Linked DNA regions of Rattus norvegicus. The protein of the gene in region 1 interacts with the protein of each later gene in a biochemical or structural test. Links are inferred from orthologs where the notes say so. Each region holds a gene or a part of one and is shown in the gene's direction. Other genes may lie near its edges. The genes, in order: Dlg1, Tmem178a and Gucy1a2.

What was found.
Region 2: the proteins of Dlg1 (region 1) and Tmem178a interact in a test that uses a peptide from one of them, tested with the Homo sapiens proteins (2 studies listed by IntAct, with this or other methods). The link is inferred for Rattus norvegicus from reciprocal best matches to the Homo sapiens genes DLG1 and TMEM178A.
Region 3: the proteins of Dlg1 (region 1) and Gucy1a2 interact in a test that uses a peptide from one of them, tested with the Homo sapiens proteins (2 studies listed by IntAct, with this or other methods). The link is inferred for Rattus norvegicus from reciprocal best matches to the Homo sapiens genes DLG1 and GUCY1A2.

What each region holds. Positions count from the first base shown.
Region 1 is NC_086029.1:82,604,960-82,609,308, reverse strand, and holds the start of Dlg1 (disks large homolog 1), read left to right. Parts: upstream 1-1,511; 5' UTR 1,512-1,930; intron 1,931-2,384; 5' UTR 2,385-2,417; coding exon 2,418-2,436; intron 2,437-3,117; coding exon 3,118-3,249; intron 3,250-4,349. UniProt on the Homo sapiens protein: Essential multidomain scaffolding protein required for normal development. Recruits channels, receptors and signaling molecules to discrete plasma membrane domains in polarized cells.
Region 2 is NC_086024.1:19,767,308-19,770,862, reverse strand, and holds part of Tmem178a (transmembrane protein 178A precursor), read left to right. Parts: intron 1-1,848; coding exon 1,849-1,986; intron 1,987-3,555. UniProt on the Homo sapiens protein: Acts as a negative regulator of osteoclast differentiation in basal and inflammatory conditions by regulating TNFSF11-induced Ca (2+) fluxes, thereby controlling the induction of NFATC1.
Region 3 is NC_086026.1:8,783,846-8,788,011, forward strand, and holds the start of Gucy1a2 (guanylate cyclase soluble subunit alpha-2), read left to right. Parts: upstream 1-1,366; 5' UTR 1,367-1,786; coding exon 1,787-2,083; intron 2,084-4,166. UniProt on the Homo sapiens protein: Has guanylyl cyclase on binding to the beta-1 subunit. Isoform 2 acts as a negative regulator of guanylyl cyclase activity as it forms non-functional heterodimers with the beta subunits.

The sequences.
Region 1 (4,349 bases):
CCATAGTTTACTGATTGATGGATTGATTTTAAATGTGTATAGTGCATGGCGGTGGGGGGGGGGTCCCTCTCGCCTTCGACCATGTGGATCCCAGGAATGGAATTCAGGGCATCCAGCTCGGAGGCAAGAACCAAGTGAACCATCTCCAAGCTGGATCCAAGCGGATCCAGCCTTAAGGTTTGACACATATGGGTCTCTGCCTTTCTGGTTCTGCCTCAGTAACTTCTGACGACTTTGGAAAAATTTTCCTGGGCTATGGAGCAGAGAAGTTCCTATTGCTTAAAAGCCGCTCAGTGAGCTGGGCAGTGACTCGGAGAACTGTCCCCTTCCTCAAGCTGCAGCCTCAACTCTAGAGCAAGGGTCCCTTGGGACTGTTTGCTCTGCTTTGAGGAGCTTGAAATTTAAACTAGCTGTGAGGGCTGGCAGTAGTTCAGTCTCTGAGGTAGCTACAGGTGAGAGGCTTTTTTTGTTTGTCTTTTACCTAAGACAGGGTTTCTTCTCTGTCTAGCCCTGGCTGTCCTGGAACTCACTGTAACCCAGGTTGGCCTGGAACTCAAAAAGATTAGGTTGCCTTAGCATCCTGGGATTAAAGTCCTGTGCTACCACCACCAGGTAGACAGGTGAGTTTCTTAAAGGGTCCTCCATAAGATGGGTAACTCTTGGGAGCATCACTGGGCAGGGACACATTCATGAACGCACAGATGAATGCAGGCATAAATGAATGAAAAATTTCATCATTAAACGGCTCATATTAGGAGTTAACCACTTACACCTAAAAGTCCCCTGAAACCCTCAAACGTTTACCAAACTAATCAGTCTCCGTTTTACATCCGGTCCTTAATGAAACTCCTCAAACCTTTTTGGACAAACGAATACTTTAAAAACCAGTCAAAAGTGGAAGACCCAGATTACCCCTTCCCCTCCGAAGTCCCTTCTTTCTCCGCCCCTTAACGTGGGTGACCGGCGCAGCCTGCACAAACTCCTTTTTCCCTGTTGGGGATCCACCCCGGGCGTGCCAGGTACTCTTCCAGCCTTGAAGTTGGCCAGCACGTGTTCAGTGAGGTTAAGGGGTGTCTGGAGCTTGTTTCTTGGATCTGGCGCAGGTGAGGTCACTTCTCTGTTTCAGTCTCCATCATCTCGAGTCCAGCGCGCTAGTTCAGAACTGCAGGCCACCCTGGGCTAGGGCGACGGGCAGGCTAGCTGTCCCAAAAACACTTCGGACCACCTGTAGAGCGCGTGCCAACTCCTTTGTCCTTAGAGCCACTTCGACTGGAGCGCCTCTCAGCAAGGCGCTTCCCTCTGGATGCTGAAGGGTCCCTCCTTCCACTACTCCAACCCCCTCCCAGCCCTCCTCCCTTTGCCAACCCCTAGGTAGCAGCGCCCGGAGCCCCGGGCTCCGAGCGAGCCGCCTCCTCACTTCTCATTGGCTGAGGGCGTCGGGAAAGCAGTCACGTGGGCGCGCGGCAGGCCAGCTCCAGGGCCGCCATCTTGGCGGAAAGTTTAGGGGGAGAGCGACTGGGGGCGCGGAAGGAGGCGAGGTTCCGGGGGTGGGGCGGCCCGGAGGCGAGCGGGCGAGCGGGGCCGCGAGCGGCGGCGAGAGGGCAGGCGGCGGCGGCCGAGGCGGAGAGAGCGGCGCGGGGGTGCGGCCGCCGAGAGGAGCTCCTCCCCCGTCCCCTCACCCCCTCAGCTGAGCTCGAGTCGGGGCGGGGCGGGGTACGTGGAGCGGGGCCGGGCGGGGAGCTGCTCCGAGTCTGGCCGGAGCGCACCCGGGGCGCCCGCGTTCGCCGCTCGCGGGAACTTTGCGGCGGAGCCGCAGGTGTGGAGGCCGCGGAGGGGTGCATGAGCGGCGCGAGGGCGGCGCACAGAGCGGCGGCTGTCCGGTCCGGCCCCTGCTGGAGTCGCCGCCGGGAGGAGGCGAGCGAGGAGCCAGGCAAGCGAGAGGAGGGGGCCGGAGCGGGCCGGGGGAGCAACCCGGCGCTTGGCTGGGCGCTGCGCGGCTGGACACGGGCCGGCGGGCGGCAGCAGGTGGGGAGCGTGGCAAGCACGCCGCGGCGGCGGCCCGGCTGCTCCTCTTCAGGTGCTCTTTGCGGAGGGGGAAGCTCTGGAGGAACATTCCGAAGCGGGCTTGGGTCCGATCTTAATCTGTAGGGGGCATAGCGACCCCCGAGAACCGGCTTTCTGCCTTGGCTGACACTGCTGGGGGGGTTGAGGCTCCTGCTTTTCACTTGGGAAAACTTTGAAAGGTGGGCAGTTCCTCCAAGGTTGGAGTTTTTCCTAGTTGAGAGTTTGGGACGGGGGTGGGGGGTTTGGGGGGGAACGAATGGATCCACGGTTCAGTTCTTTGCCTTAGTTCAAGTTTTTCTTCCTGTTTTGTGTTTGTAAAGGTGTGTGTGCCTTCTTCCTGCTTCTGGGAAAAAATGCCGGTCCGGAAGCAAGGTGAGAATTTATTTTGGAACTGTTTTGTGGCTGTCACTGGCTGTAACATACATCAGTGTTGTGGTTACTGTTTTTAAAAGGATTGTGTGACTTTGATGAATCAGCAGGCTCTCGCCTTTATTCCTTACGGTATCTAAGCTCCACATCATTTCAGAGGGTGGAAACACCTAGTTCGCTGCACACACCTTCTCCACATCTGTAGTGATTACTGAAGCAATCAATCAGCCCCCTGCCATGTCTTTTTAAAAACTTCGTTGCTTCAGTATTTCACTTTTCATTCATAGCACCACTATTTTGTGAACAACTGAGAGTAGCTAAGAACCGATGTTTAAAAACTTAAAATTTGGTTATAGGACCAAGTTGGAGATAACTTGTTCTTGTCTATTAGGCATTCTAAAACCAAGTTGTTACCAGTTTAATTAGATGGTCTTTAAGTATTGGAGGCTGTCAGTCCACAGCCACTACTTTCTCCTTCCTCTAGTGTGATATAAAGCCTTTAAAGTATTTTCGTCTTAGCAGGGAATGGAATATGGTTGTAGCGCTGACCCCACTTGACTTGGAGGCTCTGGGGAACTCTTTAGATGTCTTGTAGACGTAGCATGTAGCACTTTCTTGTAAGTATGCATGCAGACACAGACCCTAAATATATACATGAAATTTTCACCGTACTTGTCTTTTCAGATACCCAGAGAGCATTGCATCTGTTGGAAGAATATCGGTCGAAACTAAGCCAAACCGAAGACAGACAGCTCAGGAGTTCCATAGAGCGGGTTATTAGCATATTTCAGAGCAACCTCTTTCAGGCTTTAATAGGTGAGAATTAAAACTGTTTTACTTGTGACCACTGTACTAATGCATGGTGCTTCTCTGTCATGTGAAACTTAGAATGACAATGTGCTTGGCTCTCCGGGGACGGCCATTAACTTGGAACATCTCTACTGTGCTTATGTTTTGCAGTAGGCCACTGTTGCTTCTAAAGGTATTTAATTACCAGAAAAAACTTACTGGTATGGTTATTTCTGTGCCCTCTGAGAATACCGTTTCAAGTTTTAGAGTTACCTATTGAAAGATGGACAAGTTGTAGAAATGTTTTAGGAACATCAATGGTTCCTGAACTATTGTTGGTGTTTCTGTAGTTGACTTGTATTTCTCTGGAATCCTTGAAGATATTTGAAGGGTTCTGCTGTGTTCGAGAGCAGTCATCTCTTTGATATACACCTCTGTTAAATTTGACATTCCTATAGTATGAGTTTTAGACCTGGAGAATGATCTCAGAGGTGATGTCTAATAATTATCTTATTCTACAGATAGCATTGTAACAGTCTTATTCTTACCTACCTGTATCTTAAATATGAGATAGTTCGTTGTTTTAAAGAGTTGGACAAGTAGTCCAAAGTCCTGACTAGTTCCTGACACGGTTAGTGATTAAATATCAGAGAGCCCATTCATCCAGTTTAGGCTGGTTAGTAACTGTAGACTGTGGGCGAGTAAGTGAAGAGTGGGCTTTTAAGACTTTTAAAGACAGCAGGTTCTTTTAAAAATGAAATTTCTGTTTTTCTCACCTGACTACTGAACCAGGTGGTTTATTGCCTCCAGGTTCAATAGTAAGATTAAAAAAAATTAAGTAAGGACTGTCTAACACGTTCAAATAAGACCTATGCTTTCTCTCATTATGTCCATTTTCTCAGTAACTTCCCAGCGGATAGGCCTCACACACGTGTGTGCTGATAGATTGATTACTGGTGTGATTTGAACACTGTTGTCAATGTGTGCCTTGTCAGATAACTTATTGCTCTATTGATGCTCTTTAGCCTTGTACAGGCTTGGTAGACCTTATAACTTTTTAGAGTTTAGTGTTACTACAGACTTAAAGACATGCATTAAGGGTGGGGAGAGGGTGAACTGCCAGTGTC
Region 2 (3,555 bases), on another chromosome or scaffold:
GTACCAATTTACCAGTAAGACACCATGTCTGGAACTGATGCCAGGCTCCTGTGGGGTTATGTCTGACCTTTGTGCTTTGTAGTAGTCACGGAAAACAACTTCTGAATCACAGGGCAAGGATGTCACAGGGAATGACTGAGCCATTATTAGTCCCTCTCCTCATATGTGGCCATGCCAAACTATTTATACCCTTGTACCAATAATAATTCAGCATATTTAAATTGTTACTATCCATAACCCCTTATTTTGTGATATATATTCTCTATTCTGGGAGGGGCATTTAGTGTAAGATAAATAGAATTTAAAAGCTCTGAGCTAGAAATGAGAATTCCCTTCTAAGCAGCAGGGAAAGGAAGCTGGGTGGTGGCCTGCTCCTTTGATCCCAGCACTCAGGAGGCAGAAATCTGTGAGTTCGAGGCCAGTTTGTTCATACAGAGAGAGTTTCAGGACAGCCAAGGCTACACAGAAACCCTACCTTGAAAAACAGATAAACAATCACCCCCCACCCCTGCTCCCCAGAAAAACAGGGATGGGGCAAGCTGTTTATGGATAAGATGCTATGGCCAATATTGGAAGCTACTGTAGCCTGTCTTCCCTCCACGTAGTGCCCCTAGGTATTCCACAGCAGTGGGGAAGCCCATCCTCCAAGTCCTGCAGTCTGCTGAGCTTGTGCACTTTGCTCAGACTTGTTACCTGACCTCAGGAGCCGCAGGTGTGTGTGGAGGTGTGTGTGTCTTGTTTTAAGAAGAATGTGTTGTTCCAAACAAAGGCACAAGCAAAAGCAGGAAGGACAGATAGAAACAGCGAAAACGTAAAATAACCAGAAGATGGCCAACCTGAGTTGCCGAAGTGCTGTAAGGGGGAGATACCTTTCCGTATAGATCAGTGGGTCTCAACCGTCTTAACGCTGCGACCCTTTCGTACAGTCCCTCATGTGCTGACCCCAACCATAAAATTATTCTCATGGCTGCTTCACAAATTGTAATTTTGCTACTGTTATGAATCGTTCAGTAACTGTATGACATGCAGGACATCTGCTATGTGACCCCTGTGAAAGGGTCGTTTGACCCCAGAAGGGGTTGTGTCTCATGGCTTGGGAGCAGCCGAGACAGATGCTGTCAGTTATGCCCATGGTGAAGACTTGTCCCATGGGCGTAGCTCCTTCGTCTTCCATCGGTAAATAAGCTCTCCACCGTGAGGCTTGCACTTGAGGGGTGAGAGTGTGTTTATGAGCAGCTAGCCGCCTTGATCATGCACTTCAGGCCGCTTCCTTCCCCGTGGTGGCTGTGCTTGCTCACTTTTTTTTCTTAAATACTTCTCGAGAACAGACAGGAGTAGCTAGAAATGAAGAAAACAACGCTAATTGGCATCCGAGATGCTCAGACAAAAACCTGTTTTTCGTAGAAGCTCGCCTTCTGGGCTCTTTCCTCCAAAGAGGAGAAGCCAGGTTAATGACAGCCACTGTGGTACGCCGACCTCCATCCCGGCTGCTCTTTGAAGGCTGAGGATGTGTTTCTCGAATCTTCCTCGCCCAATTTACTTACTGTGTGTGATGTTTGTTACTCACGTTTTGTCTGGGGTTGTCCCCTCATCTATTCTGTGGGTGTAACCAACTTCTCCACAGACGTAGAGGGGTACAGTGGCAAAGGTTACTCATCCTAGATACCCACAGCTAATGTACCCACAGATACATGGGAGCAGAAGTCCCTAAACCCTTCACCCTGAAGTCCCCGTGCCTGCCTGGATAGCCTCTTCTCACAGTGCATGTGAAATTCTTGGTCCTGTAATTTTCAATTGCTTTTCTGCCCCGCCTCCGATTTTGACAGTCTGTTTCTGTTTTGAGATTAGATCTAAGAAGAATAACAGCTGGATTCCTGGGCATGGCGGTGGCTGTCCTGCTGTGTGGCTGCATCGTGGCCACGGTCAGCTTCTTCTGGGAGGAAAGCCTGACCCAGCACGTGGCTGGACTCCTATTCCTCATGACAGGTAGACTGTACACCGTCAGCTTCCGCTCTGTGGCACAGAATTCGGCTTGGTTCTATCACTAGTAATGTTGGTTTCAGTGGTGGGAAGGAAGCGAGCAGAAGCTCATTCATCTCTGAGAGAAAATAAGGAATTTAAAGGGAACAGTGGACAAAGTGCATTGCCCAACTTTCCCACAGCAGCATTAGTAGGTCAGAGGAAAGTGTCCTGCATCCATTCTCAATTGAGTCAATGCTGGCATTTTCTGCCTTATTGCTTAACGCTATGTCTTGGAGAGAAAGGTCAGTAGCTGAAAGTCCCCTCATACTCTATGTACCAGGGATGGTGTCCTTGGCATTACTGTTGGTGGATTTCCTTTGTCAGGGGCTGATCTTGGTCTTAGAGACATAGAGAAGAGAGCGGACAATGTCCCTGCCCCATTTTTATTGTGGAGAGACATAAGAAGTGATTTGTGATAGCAATACAAACTGGGAAGACGAGCAGGGTACAGTCTGGTTGGGAGATGCTGAGGCAACAGTTTCCGAGTTGAATCATGAGAAGCAGCCAGAAGTTGGGAGAGAACTGTGAGCTGGAGACGCCACCAGCTCAGAACCCCGAGCAGGAGTCAGGCAAGTGTGTTCTGAGGAGGAAGAGAGGTAGGAGACGGGAAGGCATGCCCAGAGTGGGAGCCATGGTCAGGACCAAATCTTTAGAGATCTCTTAATGAAGAGAAGAGAGAGGAGCATGAATGTAAAATATAAGTGGTGGAAACCACTAGAAGATTTAATGGAAGGATAACTTTATTTAAAACAAGAGGGGTGTGGAAACGTGGCTAGCAAGTAAACAAGTTGGTTTAACAAGTAAAGGGTATTTTGGTTTATAAAGGAGTTGGGAGTTGGGTCAATGGCTAGGCAAAGGAGGCTGCAGAGAAGAAATGGCCTCCTCTTCAGCCTCCACAAGAAGTTAAGGAGTGGATAATGAGGGAATGCCAAATTAAGTTTCCCAAAGTACTAGTCCCAGAAGAGCCAACACTACCCCAGATGGCCATTCCGGCCCAAAGAGTCCTGGGGCTTCACAATCAGTAAAAAGTTCTCCCTTTGCCCCTCCCCTTTGTCAGTTATACTGCAAGATTTTGGGTACTAGCCCAATGTACGTCAAAGATGTGTAGGCTTCTCCCCCGACAGCTTTAGTTTTGCCGTTATTTGTTTTTGTAAGATAAGATCTTGCTATGTGGCTCTGGATAACCTGTAACGTCTAAGTAATCCAGGCTGGCTTCCAACTTAGAGCTTTTCCTGCCTCTGCATCCTGAGTGCTGGGGTCTCCCTGTGTACACTGTCATGCCTGGCTGCTTCCCCCAAACTCTGCAGAGGCCCCACGCCAAAAGCCACAGAAGGACTTTCTTTTTTAAGGCCTCCTTTTACTACAGGGGACGGACGCATGAATACTCAAGGATGTTCAGAGTAGGAAACAGTTGTTCTAGTTCAAATACATCACGAGGCCACACAAATCCGGCTCCACCAGTTCTCCTGCCTAGGCAGAGGAGGTGAATTTTGCAGAAGGGAAGGCGTAAGTCGGGTGTCTGTCAGTGACACA
Region 3 (4,166 bases), on another chromosome or scaffold:
CAGTTTGTTCTAAACAATTAAGAAGATTTAGAATTAAAAGCAAATTGGAGTAGGGAAGCAATAATAACTCTGAGGTTTTCTTTTGTTTTGAAATATGCTCTGTCCATTTAAACTTATCTAACTTACCCAGACTAGCCCTTTGCAAATGAGCATAAAAACACTGTGGCTTTTGTGTCCTTCAAGTTAAAGCCCAAGCCCTTCTGAGATCAGGAGGAGAGGAAGGTGCACAATCGCTTTCACCAGGAAACTAAGCTTGGAACTCCTCCCCTGGGATACTGCAATTTCCTCTTCCTTTTTACCCTCGTCTATTAAAAATTTCAGAACAATCTTTTCTGGAACTAACCAAGGGCTTTGGGGCCACCCCTGCGACTGGTGGCAATGGTTCAAATTGTAAAACGAAGCTGGTGTGCTGAAACTAACACTCAAGAGACCCATAGTGTGGCAAATCTGTTCTTGGTGTATGAATCGCCACTGCCCTTGGTTTTCCCAAATGCATATCTGGAACAAGTTCAGTGGTCTAGGTTCATAGGAACCTCCTGCATGCTCCTTAGGGTCAGGTCAAAGAGAGGAGTCTGTACAGGAATAGATCAGATGCTGTCACCATCTGACAAACATGGTGCAGGGGGTGAGCGGAGCTGTCCAGCACTGGAACTTAGAAAGCTGGAGCTGGGAGATGCTCCTCCAAAAGAGCTCCCACAAATGAAGCAACAAGGAACAGACGCTAGCCTCACTGTCCTCGTGGCCTCACTAGAGGTGGGGAATCATCCTCACAATCTGTCCCGTAGTTTTTTCCTTTGCCTGTGTGTCCGCTGGAGCAGTTGATGTGACCAATCTGAACTTCTAAAATAAACTAGACATTGGACTTTGGACATGGCGTGTGTGTGTGTGTGTGTGTGTGTGTGTGTGTTGAGTGTGTGTATGAGTCTGTTTGTGTCCGTGAGCACGCCTGTGTGTAGGGACCCCAATACTCTAGGTCGGGCTGTCAGTTTTCTTCAGAGAGAGATCACTCCCTCAATTCTATGGCCCTCACCCTAGCGTCAGACATTGGGCGTGCTCACTGCCCTTCTGTTTTTCAGGGGCCAAGGGACATTTGGGCTTAGGAACCTTTAGCCCTATGACAACTACTGTACGCTCCCCCTGGTATCAGGGCACAATGGCTGGGAACCGAAAGAACAGCAGCAAAGTGTCCTAGTTGCTCCCGAAATCTGGCGACAGAAAAGGAAAAGACTTCCAATGAGTATGCTTGGGACACGTGATGCCCGCGGAGGCAGCGCTGGAGGGCGGGGGTATAAAGGGAGGAGGAGGGAGTCGCGCAGCTCCTGGAGGGGGCGGAGGACACGAGCCACGGGCGATCGAGATGCAAGGCGGAGGATCCTTGCTGCATGCACCCTTATCTCCGCAGTCCTTCAGTGGGAGCTTTGTGCACTGGCCGGTGCTGAGGCTGAGCTTGGAGAACAGCAGCTGCAGAGTCAGCGGTGGCGGTACTTGAATCCTCAGCTCATCTCCGGCGCCACTGCGGAGCCTGGGCCGTAAGGAGCCTCGGCAACCCAAGTTCCCGCCATGAGCAGCTGGCTCGGTGGGCTCAGCTGCCCCAGGGACACGCATCTGGGAGAGCGCGAGCGCAACGCCAAGCAGCCCCGAAGCGACTGAAGCTGCCTGCTACAGCATATCCAGCCACGGTCACCACCACCACTGCGTCCCTGCCTCCACCACCACTACCGCCACCATTACCACTACCACCACTGCTGCCGCCGCCGTCTCTGCTGCAGTAGTGTCTCCAAGCAGCATGTCTCGCAGGAAGATTTCATCCGAGTCCTTCAGCTCTCTGGGCTCCGATTACCTGGAGACCAGCCCGGAAGAGGAAGGGGAATGCCCCTTGTCTAAGCTCTGCTGGAATGGCAGCCGGAGCCCGCCAGGGCCACCTGGCTCCAGAGCAGCCGCTATGGCTGCCACCCCAGTCCCCGCTGCCTCTGTCGCTGCGGCAGCTGCTGCAGTCGCCGCCGGGTCCAAGAGAGCCCAACGCCGCCGGAGGGTCAACCTGGACTCACTGGGCGAGAGTATCAGTCTCCTGACGGCGCCCTCGGTGAGCCGGGAAAGGGATGGGGAAAGTTGGATCGAAGCTATCTGGGGAGCTTGGGGAGCTCCCGTCCGCTGGGGGGCGACTCGGCCTCACCCTCTTTGGCCTTGAGTTCCTAGTGGTCCCTAGAGGTCTGGGCTTAGGCAGAAGGGGAACATTGGGAAATAATGAGACCCATTCTTTCCAAGGTCTGCCTGTCCACTTCCAGGCTTAAATCAAACTACACTGTTGTCTTCTTTGATAGCCTCAGGGATCCTTCAGGCCACCTGTTTTTCTATTTTCCTTCTTTCTCTTCTGCTTTCTTCTACTTTAACTCTCTTTTCTTTCCTCTCTTCCGGTCTTCTTTCTTCTCCCTCCTTTCCTCCCTCCTTTCTTTCTTCTATCTTTTCTTCCTCCCAACCCTCCCTTCTTTCTGCTCAAAACTTTCCCAGGGTGTGTTCTGGTTCTGCAACTCCCATTTCCCTTTCCAACATTCCAAAGAGGCCCCAGCTCCCTCCTCTGGAAGCTCTTACTCTTCCTATTTCCCACACTCTCTTGGTCTGATTCGTGACCTTTTAGGGCATCTCTGAATTCCACAGGCTCACAGCAGTCTCTTTTGAATGCTTTTCTCACATTTAAGAAAGCTCTCTTAGATATTTTTCTGAGTTGTTTTTTCTCATACAAAACTGTAATGCTATGTTTACACACACACACACACACACACACACACACACACACACACACACAGAGCACCTTCGTGATGTTTTCTTATTTGTTATAAATTTATTGGCTCAGTTTTCCTTTTAGGGCAAACCTGGTGTCTTTGTAAAAATAAAAGTCACTTGTACCCTTACCTCATCCTGGACTTTCTTATCCTTAGATTCTCCACTGTTTCAGTTTTTTTAAAATGTTTTTATTTCTTCTTTTATGCCTCCGTTATATTAGAATCCACTACTATGTTTATTGAATGAATGCATGCCTTCATGTACTTCCTTCAAACATATGTTGATCTTAGGATATGTAGTATTAGCAGTTTCCCCTGTACACCCTGGTTCTAGTCATTCTTACATACCACTTTTATTCATTCCTCCTCAGACATTTCTCCCACTCCTGCCTGTATGATTTTTCAGGAATGTCAGGCCTCTGTTTTTTACCATTTACTAAGCAGACTTTGGGTTTGTAGAAATCCACTCAATTACAGAGTGTAAAGGAGATTCAATGTCAAATTTGCACCCACTTTTGAACCTCATCCAGGTTTTGAAAGCAAAAACTTTAACTTTCTTTAAGAACTACATTTTCCCCTTCTGCTCTCATTTCTTTGACTTTAACTTTCTCTGAACTTCCCTCAATGTATTTGGACAATGTTCTCTTATTTAGTGTATCCTAGGTTTCCCTTGGAAAGCATACTTGTACTCAGTGTAGAAAAGTCCTGGGGAAAAGCAAGATGTTAAGGATCTATGTTCTGGTCCAGGCAATGCCACAGACATCACTGTGGTATCTGTGTTATTGGAGAAGTGTTTCTTTCAACACTGAAACATATTTTCAGTCTCTTTTCTTTCTGTTGTGTTTTACTCTTTAACACACCATCCTACAGATAATCTAGAAAGATAATTCAGATCAGGTTGGCTGATTTGTTTTCAATCTTCCCTATAAATTTGTCCCACAGAAGATAATCCTGAGACATATATAATGCTACAAATTGTCAAACATAACTGAGTATGAGAGGAATTCAGTAGCTGTGCATATGTAGGTTTGTATCAACCCACAACATAACATTTTTGCAACATATCAATACTTCAGTCAACAGGTTCATATAGCTAACTAAACATAATGATCCATTGGTAAAGAATCCTTGTAACCCAGATTTTTTTCTTTGTGCTTGAGAAGTAAAATATAGAGGTTTCTAAAGTGTCTTTGATAATGATTTTGCATAGAATATTCTCAAATACTCACTTGAGGCTTAGGGAAAATAAAGTGATAACTGATGTATCTACTGTGAGAATGAGAGACAAGAAATAATTTCTGGTGGTTTCTTTTGTAATTTGGAGTTTAGTGACTGATGTGAAAAACATGTGCCCAGATAATGCTTTTCAGAACAAGAAATTTGAAA